Macaca mulatta: one gene and its partner. The protein of the gene in region 2 interacts with the protein of the main gene of each other region in a pairwise test. Links are inferred from orthologs where the notes say so. Each region holds a gene or a part of one and is shown on either strand. Other genes may lie near its edges.

Region 1 (3,809 bases), on a different chromosome or scaffold from region 2:
CCCTGAAAGCAGGGCGGGGTGCTGTGGCCCGGCAGCAGGCGCACCCCACCGAGCCCCGGCCTCATCTGCACTTGGTCCTGCGGCTCCTACCTGCTCCCCCAGACACACAGATCTCCGGCCAGCCACCTGGGCAGGGAGGCAGCCCCTGTCCACCCACATCAGGCCCCAGGGCTGCTCCATGACTGCCTGGCCTCGGGTCTGTCTCCGCAGCGCCTGGCCATTGCTAAGGAGTTTGGAGACAAGGCGGCCGAGAGGAGGGCCTACAGCAACCTGGGGAACGCCCACGTCTTCCTGGGGTGCTTCGACGTGGCTGCTGAGTACTACAAGTAGGTGGTCCCCACAATCTCCCAGGGAAACAGCAGGACAGGGGGAGCTGGATGCCACACCAAGGAGGTGCCCGCCCCAAGGTGGGAATCTGACTGCCTCCCCTTCCCTAACCAGAAGTCAAGGTGGGGTTCTAGGCTGCCCCGGGAAGGGCAGATGGACAAAGCTCATGAGGAGGCAGGTGGTGGGGGAGCCGGCTTATGGGAGGTCTGGGCCATCTGCCTCCTGGCCTGAGCCAGAGCAGTGCCTGCCGGGTGGAGCCCGGCTGTCAGCACTGGGTCCTATACCCAGCCCTAAACTTAGCCCCATCTCAGCCTGAGCACTGGGCACAGCAGTCCCAGGTCCTCCAGGGAGGAGTGGTGGCTCAGGGTAGTCAGGCGACTTGCCAGAGCCTGCCAGGACCGCCTGTCACCCTGGAGCCAACAGTCCGGCTCTGTGGCCATGTAAGGGTGGGGATGAAGCTGGACCCCAGAGAGGCCCCAGAGGGATTCCGGGGCAGGGGACCACTGGGCAGACTGCGTCCCCATTCTTATCTTCCACCCCTCACCCTGGAACCCTCCTCCTGGGGGCTGACCTTGCCACTGTTCACAGGAAGACGCTGCAACTGTCTCGGCAGCTCAGGGACCAGGCGGTGGAGGCGCAGGCCTGCTATAGCCTGGGCAACACGTACACGCTGCTGCAGGACTATGAGCGTGCGGCCGAGTACCACCTGCGGCACCTGCTCATTGCGCAGGAGCTGGCCGACAGGTGCGTGGCGCGGATGCGGTGGGCAGACCCGGCCCGGCCCACAGACTGAATCACCGCAGCCCAGGCGAGGTGGCCGGGGTCCCATCCCCTGCTCTGCCACTGACCGTGCTGTGACCCGGGCAGGGCAGCACCGCTGTGGGGACCGAGCCAGACAGTGTGGACACAGGGCTGGCTGCTGACTCCTGGCACAAGTGGGTGGGGTCCTCCTCCCATCACTCAGTTCGCCACCCTGTTGACCCCCACCACCTGTGTATGTATGTAAATATCAGTCTCTGGACAGAGACAGGCTGGCAAACCACAGGCCCCTAAGTACTGTCCTGTGTGCAGGTCTGGGGTAAGTGGTGGCCAGAACAAGAGGCTCAGAGCCACAGGCCTGTGGCCTTTCACAGGCAGCGGAGAGGAGGGGCCTTCTGAAAGGCTGCCATGCCTGGAGGCTTAAAAGTGGCCCAGGGTTTTCCTTTGTGGGGTGGTGATGAGAATGTTCTGGAATAGACAGAGGTGCCGGTTGCACGGCATGAGTGGACAAAATGCCACTGAATCGTCCACGTGAAAAGGATCACATTCCTGTTAGATGCATTTCCCTCCAACATAAAAGCAACCCCCTCACCCAGTGACTTGGGGGTGCCTCTGAGGGTGGAGGGAGTGCAAGGAAGCTGGCCGCCAGGGGGCGAGCGAGGCCAAGGGCCCAGAAACTGCCCACAAAGGCAGAACTGGCCACAGGCCAGGTTGCTTGGGCTCTGTGCACTAATCCTTTTAATGGGAATGAAAAAGGCAGAGCTGATTGGGTCTTCTCCTTGAAGGTGGCAGAATTTGTGGGAGGTCCCGGCTAGGGGCGTTATCCTGCCCTCCGGTCTATGCTCCTTGGACCTGGGGGCCCCGATGACCCTCGAAGCCAGGGTCATGCTGGGGCCCTGACCACCAGGGGAGGGGCTGGGGCTGGGGGCAGGCCTGGAGAGGGCGGGTATGAATCCCGTCTCCCTCTCTGGCAGAGTGGGCGAGGGCCGGGCGTGCTGGAGCCTGGGAAATGCCTACGTGTCCATGGGGCGCCCGGCGCAGGCCCTGACCTTCGCCAAGAAGCACCTGCAGATTTCCCAGGAGGTGAGCCAGGCCTGCCCCCAGGGGCCCCGGGCACTGCCCAGCCCACTCCAGACGGGCCGGGTTCACTCTGTCCCGAGCAAGCGTTTGCATGCCTGGGCTGCCCCTCATCCTTTCAGGGCCGTTGCAGCCGCCTGGTCCTTCTGAGGCCTGGTGACAAGGTGTCTACCGCACCTGGGGGTTTTTCCCGCAGCCCCCAGCTGATGCTTTCCTGGACAGCTGCGTCTCCTCCTCCTTGGAGAGGTTGCACAGGGTCTCTGTGGGCTCTGTCCATTAGCACCCTCCTACTGTGGTCAGGGCGGAACATCACAGATGAACTCTGGGCCTCCCAGCTCCTGGCTTGTCCTTACATCACGCACTCCCACGCCACCTCCCTCTGCACACCCTGAGTCTGTTCATGCTAAAGATGGTGCCAGCCCCTACTGACCACCATAGCCCCGTGTGGGAGGTGGCCGGGTGGGGAGGCCTGCAGGTGCCCAGGTGAGGGTGGAGAGGGGCGGGCATGCAAAGGTCAGCAGAGCCCTTGTCTGGAGAGCTTCTCCACTGGCAGCCAGGAGGCAGCCCCCGTGTCCCTCTGAGTGCAGGCTACAGCCTCCAGGGCCCTCCAGGGCTCCATGTGGCAGTGCCTCCCGTGCCATGTCACTCTCTCTTCTGCTTGACTTAAGCAAACAGTGCCTGAGAAATGTGGATGTTCCTGGGCGGGTCCCACGGAGCCTCAGCGCACAAGGGCTGAGAGAGGTGCAGCCGGGCGGGGCCGGGCCTCTCGCGCACCAGAGGGCACAGGCCTGGCTGCCTGGGACCCCGTGCATCTCTGGGGTGGGACTAGGGGCTGTTGAGGACCTGTAGGGCCACCTCACCCAGGGACAGAGCCCCAGACTCCACCTCCGAGTCCGCAGTGAGTCCTGGTTCCCTCAGGCCCAGGGGTCAGTGACCAGTTCAGGTCACTGAGGTGGTCAGGGACAGGTGTACTGGGGGCCATTGAGGTCCCCTTGGAGCCCACAGCAGGGCCCCCGGCCACACTTGCCCGCTCCGTCCCGCTCACTGCAGATCGGGGACCGCCATGGGGAGCTCACGGCCCGCATGAATGTGGCACAGCTGCAGCTGGTGCTCGGCCGCCTGACCAGCCCAGCAGCCTCAGAGAAGCCTGACCTGGCCGGCTATGAGGCCCAGGGTGAGTGCCAGGGTTGTGGGGGGGGTCTTGCTCCCCACAGGCACAGACCGGATCGGGAGCTGGGGAGGGGTGGGATAGAGGCCAGGCCAGCATGGCTGAGGTGGCAGCCGCCAGAAAATGGCCCTGCAAGCCAGTTCTTCTTGGCCTCAGGGACAGCACAGGCCTGAGGTTCACTCTGAGCCCCTCCCACCCTCGTCCTGGGTGGCGCCGCAGGGCTGCTGGCTGAAGGACAGGAGGTGGTCACCTACTGCCCGGCTGGCTGCTCCGGGGCCTCCACTCCCCACCTGCCCCTGGAGCACTTGGTGCAGGGAGGGCTTCTGTCCTCAGACCCAGGTGGGAGAGGGCTGCTGGGAGGCAAGAGGGCATCAGCCAGAGGGCTGGGCTGGGCTGGGGGAGCCCCATGTGCCTGGGGCGGTAATCAGGCAAGGCCCAAGGCCAGGCGAGGCCACCGTGGTGACCTCATTCATGTACC
Region 2 (4,563 bases):
TTTGTCCACAAAATGAATAGGAATAAATAAAAGCAGACTACATCTACTGCAAAATGTCAGAAAACATGAATAAAATCTTTTCTGATGATGAAAAGTCTCTCCCACAAACAACAAACATGAAGCCAAAGAAAACTGTAACATAATACTCCAAGCTGAATCCAGTGTGCTCAAACAAGCATTTAGGGGTATGAAAAATCACCCCTGAATTAGAAATGTAAAGTCAAAGAATAAAAATGGACAAGAAACGAAACAAGAAAACAAACAAACAGGAAGAGATTAAATGAGAATTGATTAAAGTTAGGAAAGACAGAGAAATAAAAAACAAAATTATATCAGAAATAATGACTGAATCACAAAGTATACAAGCAATGACAGGTTGTAATAAAAATTTAATAAAGGCACTGAAGAAAATCAGGAAAGCCACCATTAGAATAAAAAATAAAATAAAGAACTAAAAAGGGTGAAAGCCGGGCCTGGTGGCTCACACCTGTAATCCCAGCACTTAGGGAGGCAGAAGCAGGAGGATAGCTTGAACCCAGGAGTTCAAGACCTATCTGAGCAACAGAGCAAGACCTCATTCTCCACAAAAAGGAAGAAAAGAAGACAAAAAAAAAAAAAAAAAGTGTGAGAGAGGATTGAAATGGAAGACAGGTAAATAAGGTTGAATATAACTGGGTTTCCTAAAGGAAAAACATAGAACAATGAAACAGAACTATTATTTAAAACTATAATCCAAGAAAATTTTCCAGATACAAAGACCTGAATCTACACATTTTCCATACTAGGGAAAGGTGACCAAGAATGATCAACTCTGAGACATACACTATTAAAACAATATTAAGACTTTAAAGATAATGAAAAAATCCTCAGTACCTCCAGGCAAAAAAGATGAAATAATTTACAAAGGCAAGAAGATTAGACTGGCACTAGGTTATTAAAAAGCAACACACACAGTAAGGCAAGAGTGTAGTAGTACTTTCAAGAAAGAAAAAAAGGACAAACCAAGGATATTACAGCCAGCCAAGATGTCCTTCAAAACGTCTGAAGCCACAAAAAAAAGCAGTTTTGACTGTACCGGAACACTGTGCCGTGTGCCTCTGCTGAGGATTCTACTAGAGAAGATGAGCCTCATTCACCCAAAAGACCACTGTAAAATGTGGCAACTGGTGAAGATCTTCAAGGTTTCGTGTAGGTTCTAAACTTTTAAAAGTAAATTTGGAAAAAAAGGATAAATACAAACATTTAAAAAACAAGACTGCGAAAACTGCAAGGGGACGGATGGTGAATATTTAAATATTCAGTTATAGAGTTGAGAAAAACAAAGGTGAGGTAATGGCACTGAGTAGTGATATAAATATGTGCATGACAAAGGAGAATAAATGTAACTAAAAACGGAAGGAAGAGGAAGAAAAGCAGAAAGTAAAAGACCATTGACTGTTATAAATGGAATAGACAGTAGTCGAAGGACACCACTTAAAACTGACAAAAAGGAAAGGTCAAGTAAGAAAAAGGGGTTTTAAAAGTGCACTATAAAAAGCATAAGTACAAAAGTAACCACTAGAGTAAAAATACAAACCTTCTTAAATGACAAAGAATTCTAAACGGAAACATAAAGAAGAAACACCAAATAAAGAAACTCTAGCAAATATAACACATTCAGTAATTACACCCACAAGATAATATAATGGTGTGAAAAAAATACCACAGAATTTAGACCAGTCATGTTGATAAATGTCAGAGGACTTAACTTGCCTATTGGAAGACAAGGATTTTCAAATTGGCTTTCAAAAAAAACAACTCTTCTAAGTACAAAAAAGTATGCCTAAAATCGCACAGATTCAAAAAGATTAAAAAAAAAGGATGAACAAAAATTTTCCAGGCAAATGAAAACAATAAGAAAGCACCGGTTAAAATCCTGATACCAGACTAAGCAGTCTTCAAGCCAGAGAGCATTAACTAAAACAAAATGCAGTGCACTTGAAGTTAAAAGCCACGTTCCACAATAAAGATATGTACCACATAACACAGCAATCACTTGGATAAAGCATAAATCCACAGAAGATATGCTAAGAACTGCAAACACAGTAATAATGGGAGGCTTTAACGGACAATTAGTATTACACAGGCCAAGTGGACAAAAAATAAGTAGAGATATAAAAGATTTAGAAGAACTAATCACTAAGGTTGACCTTTAGGCTATATATTAAACACTATACTTTGATAACAGACAATATACTTTCCTCGCCAAGGGCACATGACACATTCACAAAAATCAGTCACATTCTGGGGCACAAATAAAAGGTTGGTAGGCTCCATAAAGTAGAAATGTTACAAACCACACCTTCTGGTCACAATATAATAAAGCTAAAAATTAAAATCAAAATCTCCAAATTAAAAAGGTCTTTCCACTGGGAAATTAAAAGGCCTTCTATTAAACAACTCTTGTGTGACTAGGGAAATACAAGCTGAAATTAAATAATTTCTGAAAAATAATAATGAATATAGTATATATCAATCTGTGACATACATTAAAATAGTAAAAAGATGAAAATTCCCAGCCCTAGACACATATATCAATAAAAATGAAATAACAAAAGTAAATTAAGTCTCTAACACAAAAACATAGAAAAATGGGTGAACTAAAAGAAAGCACAAGTAGGAAATAATAAATGCAAAAGCAGAAATTAAGATAGAAAAAAGAAAAACAATTGGTCAAATTCATGAATCAAAATCTTGATTCTTTAAAAAACAAAACAAAATAGATGTGGGTGAGGACCACTAACGTGATGGGAAGAGGAACATCAGGTAACACACTGCTTATCATTTTTACATTAATTCATGATTGTCAGCATAAAGTGCTTAAAAATTTTTTTAAAAAACCTTGAGCATAACAGTTTTTATTAAACTGAATTCATTTTTGTTATACTCACATTTTCTTCCTTTTGATTACTGAGATGCCACCTGTCAAAAAAAACTACAGTCAACGATAGAACATATCTACCTTAATACGTTTCGTGCTATCATTTTTTAGGAAGTAAGTAGTAGACAGGGAGATATTCCATAAAGAATTATAACAAGTAGAATGTTAGTCAAGATTGCTAGGCAATTTAAATGTTCTAAATAGAAGAGACTGCTACTTGAGGAAAAAAAAACCTTGCCCATTGAAAGAAAAGGATTTTCAAATTGGCTTATAAAAAATGACGCTATGCTGTGTACAAGAAGCATGACTTCTCATTTAAACGAGTTTCACTGTAAATGTTTGTTGTATAATTTTATTGATACACTAAAATGATACATTTTGGGATTCTTCAGGATAACAAATGACACTAAGAAAATTCAAACTGCTGAATAATGTTATCATGAATTAGAGATTAGAAGCATAAAGAAATGAGTAGGACAGGTATAGAACCACAACCAAATACTGGCAAATCATATAGTAATTCACTATCAAAGACTTTAGTATTAAGCAGGAAACAGAATCTAAGACCGAGGCAGAACTGAAACTAGAATTTAGAGAATAGAGAAAAGAAGAAAGAGGAAGGTTTGGCTTTAGAATATTCTGATGTTGAAACCACACTTGTTTACTTCGAAGTAAGATGATGAATGCTTGTGTTATCATAACTCAGTATGAATGCTTGTGTTATTAATAACAGGCTGTTGGAAAGCAGCAGTCCTTCAAAGGTGAATTTTTTTCTTAGAAAATTAGTAGTTTACAGAAGGCAGCACAGGTTTATTCACTTAAAATAGAGTTTTAAAACAACCATTTATTTGTGAAGAGGATGCTTAGTACCTCTGTTGCCAATGTTGGTAGTTATTTTGTGTGTGTATTCTAGAGTAATGAAAATCAGGATTTAAATAATATTTGTAATTCATTTTCACTATTTTAGACTGACCATATATCCTCAATTTGGTCAAGTCATCAGTGTTTCTATACTTTTGTGACACTATAGGAATTGAAATATTTTTCCTATTTTCAGGCATAAAGCTTATGAAATGATTAAAGATTTCTAGAAAAAGCAAGGTTTTTTGCTTTGGTAAATCATAAAATTGTCTAAAAGCTCTGCACTTGGTTGAACTGGGGATCATAACATGAATTTACATGTGTTTATTTTAAATCTCTCAGTAAAATACAGAGGTGAGACCTTGGCCTCTTCTGATATGCCCAAGGTCTATTTTGAACAGTTCTGCCTGATTTAAAATTACGAACAAGTTCACATTAAAAGGAGCCTTACATTTCTATAAAGTAATATCTAGGCCGGGTGCAGTGGCTCACGCCTGTAATCCCAGCACTTTGGGAGGCCAAGGCGGGCAGATCACAAGGTCAGGAGATCGAGACCATCCTGGCTAACATGGTGAAACCCCACCTCTACTAAAAATACAAAAAATTAGCCTGGCGTGGTGGTGGGCACTTGTAGTCCCAGCTACTTGGGAGGCCGAGGCAGGAGAATGGCGTGAACCCAGGAGGCGGGGCTTGCCGAGAGCGGAGATCGTGCCACTGCACTCCAGCCTGGGCAAGAGAGGGAGACTCTGTCTCAAAAAAAAAATAAAATAAAAAGTTATATC

Evidence for each region.
Region 1: the proteins of CCDC158 (region 2) and GPSM1 interact in a two-hybrid assay, tested with the Homo sapiens proteins (2 studies listed by BioGRID and IntAct). The link is inferred for Macaca mulatta from reciprocal best matches to the Homo sapiens genes CCDC158 and GPSM1.

Annotation. Positions count from the first base shown.
Region 1 is NC_133420.1:6,169,694-6,173,502, reverse strand, and holds part of GPSM1 (G-protein-signaling modulator 1), read left to right. Parts: intron 1-210; coding exon 211-326; intron 327-915; coding exon 916-1,071; intron 1,072-2,060; coding exon 2,061-2,169; intron 2,170-3,213; coding exon 3,214-3,337; intron 3,338-3,809. UniProt on the Homo sapiens protein: Guanine nucleotide dissociation inhibitor (GDI) which functions as a receptor-independent activator of heterotrimeric G-protein signaling.
Region 2 is NC_133410.1:57,404,890-57,409,452, reverse strand, and holds the start of CCDC158 (coiled-coil domain-containing protein 158), read right to left. Parts: upstream 3,052-4,563; 5' UTR 2,931-3,051; intron 1-2,930.